Linked DNA regions of Drosophila melanogaster. The protein of the gene in region 1 purifies or fractionates together with the protein of each later gene. This does not show direct contact. Each region holds a gene or a part of one and is shown on either strand. Other genes may lie near its edges.

Region 1 (5,259 bases):
ATGTATTTATGTTTGTATGTATTTTATGTATGGGTTGTCCAAAAAGTAATTGCGGATTTTGTAAATGAAAGTAAATGCATTTTTAATAAAACTTCGAATGAACTTTAATCAAATATATTGTTCGATAATCTTTTGCCATCTTTCTGGCGAACATCCGAATTAATCGTTTGGTTCCTTGGAAGCAGCTAAAAATATACGACACCCTTCCAATACCACCAAACAGACAGCATAACCTTCTTTTGGTGGATATCAGCCATTGAAGTGAAACGGATCGAATTCATTGCGTTTAAGGTGCTTATCACAAGCGTTGATTCGGTGTGTTAAATGAATTTCTTTCAATACATGTGGTACCCAAATATCAAGCTTTTTCACCAGTCCAAGACTTTTTATAATGAACGGTTGATTTTTGGTATATTTAACTTCTCTCCTATCTCACGCTCAAGTTACATGACGATCTAATTCGATAAATAATAATGCTTTGATTTGGTCATCATCAACTTCATTTGGCCTGAACGTGGCTCATCTCTAAGTGAAAAATCTCCAGAACGGAATTTGCGAAACCAATTTTGACACTGTCTTCCTTTTAAGGCTTCATCACCATACCATCGTATCTCTCGTAACTTTCTAGCAACCTTCTCCGCGTTTTTTCCTTTACGGAAATAATAAAGTAAGATATGACGAAAATGCTCCTTTGTGGGCTCCATATTAAAATTGACGCCAAACAAACAAATAAAAACAAAATTTCGCGCACTTTTTTTTCTAATGGAAGCTAAAAGTAACAGCTGATAACTGACCAAAGAAAGAATGCAATTACAGAGTTACAAGCCGTTGAAAAAATTTGTCAACGCCGACTATATGAAAAATCCGCAATTACTTTTGGGCAATATCTTACTTTTTGGGCAATATCTTAGGTTGGTTTCAACGTTGCCAAAGTTCTTTTTTCCTTCAAAACAATTAAACAAAAGCCACGACGTTCACACGTAACTTTCTATCGTAACAATATCGATGTCGTCGGTTTGTTTTTGTTGCAGGCACATGGAAAGATACACATAGAATATAAGAAATCCGGTTAATCGAATTGCTACACAGGAAAAAACAAGGTGGAATAGTTAATTTGGTTATTTGCAAACTGACGTTATTAAAATTAAAGGCCAGGGCTATGGTTGAAATTTTTTTAAATTTACATTTCCTTCGGAGACAATATTTCTTGCTGTGTAAAGATCTTTGGTGCGAATGGGTAGAAATGGTCAGATGACAAAAAATTCACGCATAGTTATTATGAAAGGCACAGGTAGGAACAAAAAAAAAAAAGAGAAAAAAGCGGCAGAAGCAACCGGCCGGTACACATACACACAAACACACGCAGCTGAAGAGATTCCGCCGTACACGTGTATGTGTGTTTGTCGTCTAACTGCTTTTTGTACACGTTCACAAGTTTGCTCCTCCTTCGACACCCCAACACTACTCTCATCCCCTTTCACTCGTTTTTGAACGGCTACGTGAAAGTATTGTTTTCTTTTCGCTGTGTCACGAGCGGAATGGTTGTTGTTGTTGTTGTTGTAACAAATCCCCAGCCTCACTCACACACCAGCACACATGCCGCCTATCAATGAGAACAACGAACTTATGTATTTCCAAGGTGAAAAGAGAGCTGTCGCCGGTTCACCACATTTGCGCGCCATTTGCCAGGGTATTACAGATTACAGCCAGATGTGGGCCAAGTAAACATCTACAGGAGTATATTTAAATTTTTGTGCAAACGCCAATGAACAACGGGTTTAAATTCACTTTGTTATCAAGAAAATCCCGTTTTCTTTACTGGCAGCACTTCGCAGACATTTTGCCCATTAACAAGTGAAAAAACATGTGGCAACGCCATGTGTGACGTGAACGCGAATGGAAAGCGAAAAGCAAACGTACCAAAAACCAATGCCCTCAAAATAAATGTTAATTCCATCGAAAGAAAAAACAAACAATTCTTTTTCGAGTTTTCCTCCAGCTTTAAACGATTAATGTTTTATTGTTGTTGCTGGCTGAGTACTCACGACTGAACTGAATGAATCGCACTGGCAGTGTGTGGGAAATTCACCACGGCAAAGGCAACGAAGAAAAAAAAACAAAATGGAAGACGTGCCTTATGAAAAATGATACAACAAAGAAGTCTCAAGAAATGTCTTGGGTCTCAGTTCTTAGAAAAGGGAACAAACGCATTTCACTGTATTTTTACGCTTTTCGTTTTGTTTGGCCAGCCAGGCGGTTTAATCGATGGGGCACTCACTAATTCACGAATGCACTTTCACGCCGGGTACACTTTTGACACTTGGGCTTTCGGGCCGGAGAAATAGGAGCGAAATTAACCAAGATTTCTAATACGCAATTTTACGAATTTCGCACGATTTTTGTATTTTGCACCGCAATCTGCTGGCGTGTGTGAGTGCATGAGTTGGCCGTACGTGTGTGCGCGTGAGAGCGTGTGTGTGCGCGAATGGCCGCCGAGCGCTGTGCAATGGTGTGCGTGATCGTTGGTGTGGTGTTATACATAGCATTTTTTCGTATGTATGTATAAAAATATGAAATTTTCCACTTTGATGGGTGGAAATAGAGTGCCGAAAGTGGCACGAAAAATCGCTGAAAATTGCACAAACCTCTGTTTGTCGAGAAATCCGAAAAGGCGAAGAAACGATTCGAACGAATCGAGCCAATTTTACCCCACACACAAACACACGCGCACACCGAGCAATGGCAGCTGCGTCAAGTATTCAGGCGTTTTTTTTGGAAAGGAAAGGCTAGGCAGGCATTTTGTTAAAGCACTGTAATTGTTATGTAAATGCGATTTTCGGTCGCTTTTCGTTCTTACCGTTTGTGCCAAGTGTTCGTCTGTGGTTTTTTAAAGATTTCGCACTGCAAATTCACTAAATTTAAGTGTTTTTTCCTTAAAAAACTAGCTTATAAATAATTGTATGATTTTGATGCATACGATATTATAACCTAACTTATATGATAAATCGCCGCCACGTTTAATGCTGTGTGACCGCCGCCAGCCAAAAAAAATACCTCAAGTTGCACGGAATATACTAAAACATACTCCACATATATTCTGAATCTAACAGATACTAGAAAACAAATTTAAATTACGAATTTATATCTATCTTTTAACACGAAGGCTAAATATAAAGGAAGTTAAAGGGGACTGGTTAAAAAAATGTATTATAAATTATTTACATTAAAATGTAATTGTGCAGTACAATAATATCTTAAAGGTGAAAAATGTAATAAGATGTGTGTATATGATTTGTATGTACTATACTAAAAAAGGTTTTATAGTCGCTTTCTTTAGGCGGATGGAATGTTTTGAAAGGAAAAAATAATTTTGAGTATTTTTTTCGTAGGAGTTGAAAAGGAAATATTTAGATTTTCATTTTTCGGCCCTGGAAGTTATTGTTGCCAGACACTCCCGCCTTTTGCTGACCGTTACCCGCGGATTGAGCATAACTTTTGGTATATTTTTAGCGAGTCCGCAGTTTCTTTTAATGGTCTGTCCACGGTCACTCTGTTTGCTACCCGGTAAAATGAGTTTTGCGCTGCATTAAATAGAAAATAAACACAAAAATTCGCATCTGCCGACCGTGTTAAGTGACTAAAAGTGTTCGCCAGTGCGCGATTGACCGACCAAAGTGCCCAGGAAGGCGGTGGCAAGTGATTCCAACCCATCATCGATTTTTTTCTGCGCTGCTGCCACATTAATTTGGGCCCGGGGAAAAGCGAAATAAACAGAAATGTCGCGCCATCCGAGCGATAGAAAGGTGTACGTGGGCGATCTGGGCAACAATGCCCGGAAGAACGACCTGGAGTATGTATTTGGAGCGTACGGCAGTTTGCGCAGCGTCTGGATAGCCCGCAATCCGCCGGGCTTCGCCTTCGTGGAGTTTGAGAGTGCCCGCGATGCGGCGGATGCGGTGCGCGGATTGGACGGACGGACGGTTTGCGGGCGCCGAGCCCGTGTGGAATTGTCCACCGGAAAGTATGCTAGGTCCGGCGGTGGTGGTGGCGGAGGTGGTGGAGGCGGTGGTGGTGGAGGACTCGGAGGACGCGACCGAGGCGGCGGTGGTCGTGGGGACGATAAGTGCTACGAGTGCGGCGGACGGGGGCATTTCGCTCGCCACTGTCGCGAAAGGAAGGCCAGGCAGCGACGCAGGTAAGCGCAATTCGCATTTGCAATTCGCCATTTCAATTTTTCATTCATTGTCGTTGCCAAAAACTTCTTGCTTTTTGTAACATGGCGAGAGAAAGGCATACATACAAACAAACGCATACATACATACATGCATGCTTGTGTGTATGCGCATGCAAAAATGTTGAGTTTGTTTGGGCACCTCTGTCGCCTGTTAAAACTAACAGCGTGCTGTTATGCGCAATGAGTGCTGTTAATCCCAGCGCATGAAGTAGTTCTGTACCATAACAGCACGCACACGTGCTCGGGTGGCATACCCATTAATATCGATATGAGAAGTATATAGCTTCTACAATTGTCTAACAAAATCATGCTTGACAACAGTAGTTATCTATTCAGATAGTAATAACAGAATTTTGTTTTTAAGTCTATTATATAGACTATTATAAGTCTAATATATTGTAAAAATGTAAACACTTTCGTGATTAATAAATATATAAAATATATATATTTTATACTCTTGAGCACAAGAATTTGTCCGTAAATTGCACAAAAGCTTACAAATAGTTACGTGACAATGATTTAGCGAAGTCCTCTAATATATTTAATATTGATATTAAAGTTTGATTGATTTGATTAGAAATAGACAAATTAAAATAAGTGGTAAACAAAAGGGTAGCAGGCGGCTGCAAGACACCCTCCTACGCTATTTTCCCCGCGCTTTTACGTTCGTGGTGAATTAATTACAGTGGTGCTGTTATGCGCGAACCAAGTGGCAACGCCGTAGACCGAAGGCACACGTGCTTGCACTTCATTTTGGATTTTTCTTTTACACGCGGCATACGGAAAAGAAGGTTAAGTTGCTGCTGGCTGCCGAGAGTTTCGGTGGTTTTAAATTGAATTAAAATTGAAACTAAATGAGCAGAGCGTAACGCGATGTTTGTGCTCTACGAAACGCCGGCGGGCTACGCGATTTTCAAGCTGCTGGACGAAAAGAAACTGGAGCAGGTGGACAATCTGTACCAGGAGTTTGAGACTCCGGAGAAGGCCAACAAGCTGCTGAAGCTGAAGCACTTTGAGAAATTCAA
Region 2 (6,859 bases), on another chromosome or scaffold:
TCCTCTTCTGCATCAGTACACTCGCGGTTACGGTCACGTTCGCCTGGTCAATGCGCTATCCAAGCTCTATAGCGGTCTCGTCGGCAAGGAGCTAAATCCCCTCAGCGACATACTGATTACCTCAGGCGCCTATGAGGCTCTCTACTCCACCATCATGGGCCATGTGGACGTGGGCGACGAGGTGATCATTATTGAACCATTCTTTGATTGCTACGAGCCTATGGTCAAGATGGCCGGTGGAGTGCCCCGCTTTGTTCCCCTAAAATTGGTAAGAACCACAATAGAAAAAAAAAATATATCCCTCTTTTTAACATGTCTAACTTCTAGCGCAAGACAGAGGGACCAATAAGCTCTGCCGATTGGGTGCTAGATGACGCTGAGTTCGAGAGTCTGTTCAACTCTAAAACAAAGATGATTATCCTAAACACGCCCCACAACCCTATTGGAAAGGTCTTCAACCGGAAAGAGCTAGAGAGGATAGCCGAGCTCTGCCGCAAGTGGAATGTGCTGTGCGTCTCGGACGAGGTGTATGAGTGGTTGGTGTTCGACGGAGCCGAGCACATCCGTATCTGCACGCTGCCGGGCATGTGGGATCGCACCATTACTCTGGGATCAGCGGGCAAGACCTTCTCAGTAACTGGTTGGAAAATAGGCTGGGCCTACGGACCCGCTGAACTGATTCGAAACCTGCAGATGGTGCATCAGAACTCTGTGTACACCTGTCCAACGCCGCTCCAGGAGGGCGTCGCACGCAGTTTCGAGGTAGAACTGGCCCGTTTGGGTCAGCCGGAGAGCTACTTCCTTAGCCTGCCGCGCGAGCTGAAGCAGAAGCGTGACTTCATGGCCAAGTTCCTGTCCGAATCCGGTATGCGTCCCACCATTCCTGAGGGTGGCTACTTTATGCTGGCAGACTGGTCACCACTGGCGGGCAAGATTGATCTAAGCTCTGAGCCAGACAAGCATCGGGATTACAAGTTTACCAAGTGGATGACCAAGAACATGGGCTTGCAGGGCATACCGCCAAGTGCCTTCTACAGCGAACCCAACAAACATCTGGGGGAGGACTTTGTGCGCTACTGCTTCATCAAGAAGCAAGAGAACCTGGATAAGGCGGCCGAACTGCTGTCCAAATGGAAATAGTCGCCGGACAATAAACGAATTGCTATCAGCCGCTTTGTTTATCTCTGCCCGAATGCAGTTCCCTAACCTGGGTGTTACGTAACCAACAGGGAAAACAACCTTGTGCTGGTGTGGTAGCCTTACTGCAATCTCCATTTATTAGCAATCCAACAACATGTTCATCCGCACCATACATTGGATAGTAGGTAGCTAGTGTCGCTGTAACGTGTATATTGTGTTCTGTGTTTTTAAACTAGTGTTCTCCGCTTAGGCATCGTACACGGACTTCAGGGCCAATTCGGGCTTGTCGTAGCCCAGTTCCTCGATGGTTGGGATGCCCAGCTCCTGCAGTGTGGGGGTGATCTTCTCCAGCAAGTAGGGATAGAGGGTGGCCTTTTGGTCGCCGCACTTGTCCTTGCATCCCTCCAGCCACCTGATGGCCAGTGCAATGTCGTTGACGCGACGGCTGGCACGCAGACCGGCCTCGATGATCTTGGGGCTGGGCACCAGATCCATGCCCAGCAGATCGTTCATGCCCTTGCGGATCTCCCAGCCATCGATGCCCTCACGGCTGAAGTACTTCTCGTAGCGCTTGTCGAACTCCTCCGCCGATTCCTCGGTTCCGTGCAGACAGCGCACGGCGGCCACGCGCGACGATGTGCCGACGAGGCTGCTGCGGAGGGCGCTTGCCAGGTTACGGGCCGTGATGCTCAACATGCTGCCGTTAAAAACAGTAAAATGCTTGTTAATTGCAAAAATTTGGTTAAGTAACAGCTCGACTCACTTTTCTTGTTCTTGCTACTTTTCACACGGGTATGACAGATCTGAGTGATGGTTGGCAACACTGGCTTTTCCAGGGATGGACACGTTTATAACTGTCGCTGTCACGGAACAGTGAGATATTTAAAATGTTTCTGCTTCAGTATATTTCAAATTCGGGTAAGATCACAGTTAGTTTATCATTTTCCTTATATTTAATTTCTTCTATCTTGCCCAAAAAAAGCAAAAAAAAAATCAAAATCAAACCTTGTTTCTTTTTCAACGGTCCACATTGATGCTGGCTACTGCCAGGCGGTATTTTTTGATGATTTAATTGCGGTCACACTGCATCTTCAACTTGACGCGTGCTATTTGATTAATCTCTCTGAAAAATAAGTCAAATTAACCGATAAAGTTTAAAAAAAGGCGATATTGGAAGTTGAAACAGAGCAGAATACGGTTAGTTCTCTGTTCCGCCACCAGGTGTGACATTTAGAAGCGTTTATATTGTGTACGAGACTTGCAAAATGTCATAAGCAATTAGGGGTGACAAGAAATCAAAATGGCGTACGCGGTGCAAAAAAGAATCGCACCAAACAAGCGTCGCTGCTGAGTGGAGAATCACTAGCTCAAAAAATCGCATTTTCAGCCAGTAAAAAACAATTAAAACTAGTTAACCAGTGACTAATCGTTGTAACACCATTTGCAGGTAGAGATCTGGTGAAAAATGTCCAACGCAGACGTGCAATTTAACTACGGCCAGCAGGGAAATGGCGACAACTTCAACGACGACAGCAACCAGCAGCAGGATGAGGATGACCAGTACAACGAAGATGGCGGCGGCAAGATCGAAAACGTCGGCGAGAGCCCCAAATTCGTTCGGTTGCGCGGCCTGCCCTGGTCCGCAACGCACAAGGAGATACTCGACTTTCTGGAAAACGTGAATGTGACTAATGGCTCGGCGGGCATTCACCTGGTCACCAGTCGGGTCGACGGCAAGAACACCGGCGAGGCGTACGTGGAGGTGGCCAGCCAGGAGGACGTCGAAGAGGCTCGCAAGCTGAACAAGGCCAGCATGGGTCACCGCTACATTGAAGGTTTGTTTATTTGCCACTTGAGTGGGGGATGACTGTACCTGATGACTATCTTGGCAGTTATAGTTAGTTTCTTCTCACTTTGTTTATATGTTTATCCTTTTAACAAGCTTGAACTTGTTCTGATTCCATACATGGAATCGAAGATGATTTATTTCTTCATTGTTTTGCTACTTATACTGGTAGCGCTTATTTTCTTTTCATTCATTGTGGAATTTTACCTAATATTAAGGAGGTTTTACAAATATGTCACTGTATTGTTACTCTTATCCTTGCTTCTATCGAGGTAAACTAAAATTTAGTAAAGTAAATTTCACACCACCATTTATAATCTGTATTCATGTTAATTCTTATCTTAATAACAAACACAAAATGGTGCAGAAAACTTGTTTGTTTTTTTTCCGTTTTAACTGATGTAATTGGTTTTTATTTCTTTAGTTTTTACCGCCACGCCCAAGGAGGCCAAGGAAGCCATGCGGAAGATCAGCGGACACGGCACGGCCTTCGTTGTGAAGCTTCGTGGTCTGCCATATGCCGTCACTGAGCAGCAAATCGAGGAGTTCTTCTCTGGTAAGTTTCCTGACCCAAATCCTCTTTCCATACTAATATGTACCAGGTACCAGGAAAAAAGACAGTGGTTGACCGCATGTATTATTTGTTCACATCGTTGAGATATGGCCTACGGTCCCCTTTCATCTACACCTTTCATATATCAATTACACATGCGTTTCAACGTACATACATATTGTCGGGCAAAGAAATGCAGGCCCTTGCATTTGTGTAATGGGTTCGGCGGTTCACGCGGCTCCTTCCAAAGTCAACGGCTGAGAGTTGACGCGGTCACGTCCGCTTGTCCGATAAATCATTCCTTCGTTGGTCACATAACCCAGTTTACTTGGTTATATGGTCGATCATTACTCACAACCTTCAACTGAGCTACACATGTCTACGAGTTACAGGATCTGAGTTTTGTAATACATTGTGGTCCGGGAAACTCGATTGCAACAGTCGCATCTTGCCTGGTGATCATAGTTTGACTAAAAGGCACTGTTTATTTATGCAAACGTTGCTAATACCGTGAGAACCTGCAAAAGTTCTGCGGTGTTGGAACTAAACAATAACATTTATCAACCTCTGTATTTCTGTTTTTCTATCTAAGCTTAACCTTGCATAATGTATATATATATATGAAATCTATATATTTGTATAAATCTTTGTTGGTTATCGTCATGGGCAGGGTTGGATATCAAAACGGATCGGGAGGGCATACTTTTTGTTATGGACAGAAGGGGTCGTGCAACTGGGGAAGCTTTTGTTCAGTTCGAAAGCCAGGACGACACTGAGCAAGCCTTGGGCCGAAATCGGGAAAAAATTGGGCACAGGTGGGTTTCTAATTCATCATATCTTCTACAACAAAAACAGCGAAATTAAAACATTAAGTGGTAATCGATTGCGAACTTGTTGAAACACACAAGGACTATACAATTATTCACAAAATATTTAATAACTTTTATCACAAATAATTTCTATTTCAGTAACTGAGAAATCATTTAGCAAAAAATTTTCCCATAGCTACGGGTCTGGTGGGGCTCTCTAAATACATATATATGTTTAAGCGCGATCATGTGCTTTATCTAACAAATTAATTAAACTGTGAACAGCATTTTTATTTATTTTATTTGATCATTTCAATGAATTTATTTTGATTTCATTTTTTTACGTGATATTTAATAGTTGATCATGGAAAAAAGCCACCGACCCTAGCAATTTCAAGTACCACTTTTAAAATACATATATTTTCCACTTTTATTCACATAGGTATATTGAGATATTCCGCAGCTCGATTGCTGAAATGAAGAGGGCCACAGGCGCCGGTGGCGGTGTCGGAGGACGCCCTGGCCCTTATGACATACGTGATCGTGGTGCCAACCGTGGTGGCAATGATTTCGGCGGAGGGCGCAATGGTATGTTCAGATCTAATTGTTAAATTTTATAAAACTTCACTGATTGCCATTCCGATGTTAAACAAAGATTGGGGCAACAATGGCAACTTTGGCGTTGGTGCCAACAACATGCTGGGCTTCAACAATCTGCCAAGCCTGATGAACTCGGGCAACTTTGGAAACAACCAAGGTGGAAATAATGGAAATTTTGGAAATAACTCTGGACCCAGCAATTTCGGCAACTTTGGTGGCGGCAACAACGGTGGAAATTCCGGCAACTTTGGAAACGACAGTGGTAACAGCGGAAACTTTGGAAACTTCGGCAATAATGGAGGCGGAAACTTCGGCGGCAACAACAACGGCGGCGGTGGTTTCAACAGTGGCAACAACTTCAATTCTCCAGGTGGCGTTAATAATTTCGGCAACAATGGCGGCTCCAATTTTGGCGGCAATGGTGGAGGAGGTTTCAATAACGGCGGAAACTTCGTATCCTCGAGTGGTGTTGGCAACTTTGGCCCGATCGGCGGCGGTCGCAACAATAACAACGGAAATTTCGGAAACTCTGGATTCGGTAACTTTGGAGGAAACAACAATGTCGGCTCGAACTTCGGAGGAGGCAACAACGGCGGTGGCGGCGGATTCAACAATGGCTCGAACTTCGGCGGCGGCAACTCAATGGGCGGTGGTGGCAATTTCGGTCCCATCGGCGGCGGTCGGGGCAACGACATCGAGTATTATACAATCCACATGCGCGGACTTCCCTACACTTCATTTGAAAACGACGTTTTTAAGGTGGGTTTAACAATAACGAACTTGTTAAGAAGGAATATTCAACTTACTTAAAATCACAATAATTTCTTTCTATAGTTCTTCGAACCAATCCGACCAGCTAACGTGCGGATAAACTACAACAAGAAGGGTCTGCACAGTGGCACTGCGGATGCCTACTTCGACACCTACGAGGATTCCCAGGTGGCCATGAAGCGCCACAGAGAGCAGATGGGTTCGCGATACATTGAGCTGTTCTACGACGGAAAGACGCGTGGACTCAATGGTGGGGAACACGGCGGTGGTAACGGTGGCGGCGGAATGGGAAACAATGGCGGCGGAAACTTTTCGCGGCGCATCTAAAGCTCTTCCATAGTTTGATTACATTGAAATTAATGTAGACGCAAGTATTTCGTAATATTATGATCAAGCTGATACTGCTAAACCGCTAAGGAACCCTTACAACCATGTAAACGACTTAACTATCGAACAGAATTCAGACAGAGACAATTGGTTACACATAGAAACCACCAACGTATAATCAAGAATAAAGAGCACACTTTTATTTAAGTACTTTATTCTGTAGAAATTTCAATTTTAATATTTAAGTTTCAATTATTAATTTAGGTTTTTCTAAAATAAACTTTTATTTTAAAATGAAAATGAAACGAGTTTTTCTTAAACTTAGAACTCGTCTGCCCGGAAATGATTAGAATTAAAAATTGTGGATACAGATGAGATCATATGTGGTCTTCTGTAAGTGCACAGCTGTCTAAAAACTTTTGATATTCACATTTAAGTATACAGAAACTAATTATACAAAATAATAGGGTATGCCATGAATTGCACAAAGCCTATTTGCATTTCTGGGCAGTTGTTGCCCACATTGATGAAAAAAAGTGGGAATAAAAGTAAGTAATGAACACATCTGGCTGGGACTAGAAATATCAAAACATCATTTGGTAAATCGGAAAGAGTGGCTTTCCTTTAAAACTTGATACCTCCTAAACTCTTTAATGCTCTTCGGTATTTATTTCGCCTTCGGTTTTTTTATTTCACAATATCTTAGCAAAGGTTCAGAATTTGCGGGCCGAAGACAAAAGTTTTACTTTTCACTTTCCTAAAGGCACAGTTGACAGCTCAGTATCATAGTTGCGATGTAGATAGCAGACCTGT

Evidence for each region.
Region 2: the proteins of Hrb27C (region 1) and glo purify together in Drosophila melanogaster (affinity purification with western blotting; 2 studies listed by BioGRID). This does not show direct contact.

Annotation. Positions count from the first base shown.
Region 1 is NT_033779.5:6,918,460-6,923,718, reverse strand, and holds the start of Hrb27C (heterogeneous nuclear ribonucleoprotein at 27C), read right to left. Parts: upstream 3,016-5,259; 5' UTR 2,858-3,015; intron 2,754-2,857; exon of another isoform or gene 2,646-2,753; intron 2,460-2,645; exon of another isoform or gene 2,279-2,459; intron 2,081-2,278; exon of another isoform or gene 1,921-2,080; intron 989-1,920; exon of another isoform or gene 985-988; 5' UTR 893-984; intron 1-892. Other genes in the region: nop5, read left to right, coding at 5,108-5,259; x16 splicing factor, read left to right, coding at 3,777-4,195. UniProt on the Drosophila melanogaster protein: This protein is a component of ribonucleosomes. Could be needed to organize a concentration gradient of a dorsalizing morphogen (Dm) originating in the germinal vesicle.
Region 2 is NT_033777.3:11,814,689-11,821,547, reverse strand, and holds glo (glorund), read left to right. Parts: upstream 1-2,127; 5' UTR 2,128-2,337; intron 2,338-2,443; exon of another isoform or gene 2,444-2,530; intron 2,531-2,587; 5' UTR 2,588-2,605; coding exon 2,606-2,975; intron 2,976-3,410; coding exon 3,411-3,542; intron 3,543-4,209; coding exon 4,210-4,354; intron 4,355-4,790; coding exon 4,791-4,936; intron 4,937-5,003; coding exon 5,004-5,707; intron 5,708-5,782; coding exon 5,783-6,046; 3' UTR 6,047-6,255; downstream 6,256-6,859. Other genes in the region: Kyat (kynurenine aminotransferase), read left to right, coding at 1-268, 328-1,140; COX5A (cytochrome c oxidase subunit 5A), read right to left, coding at 1,387-1,836.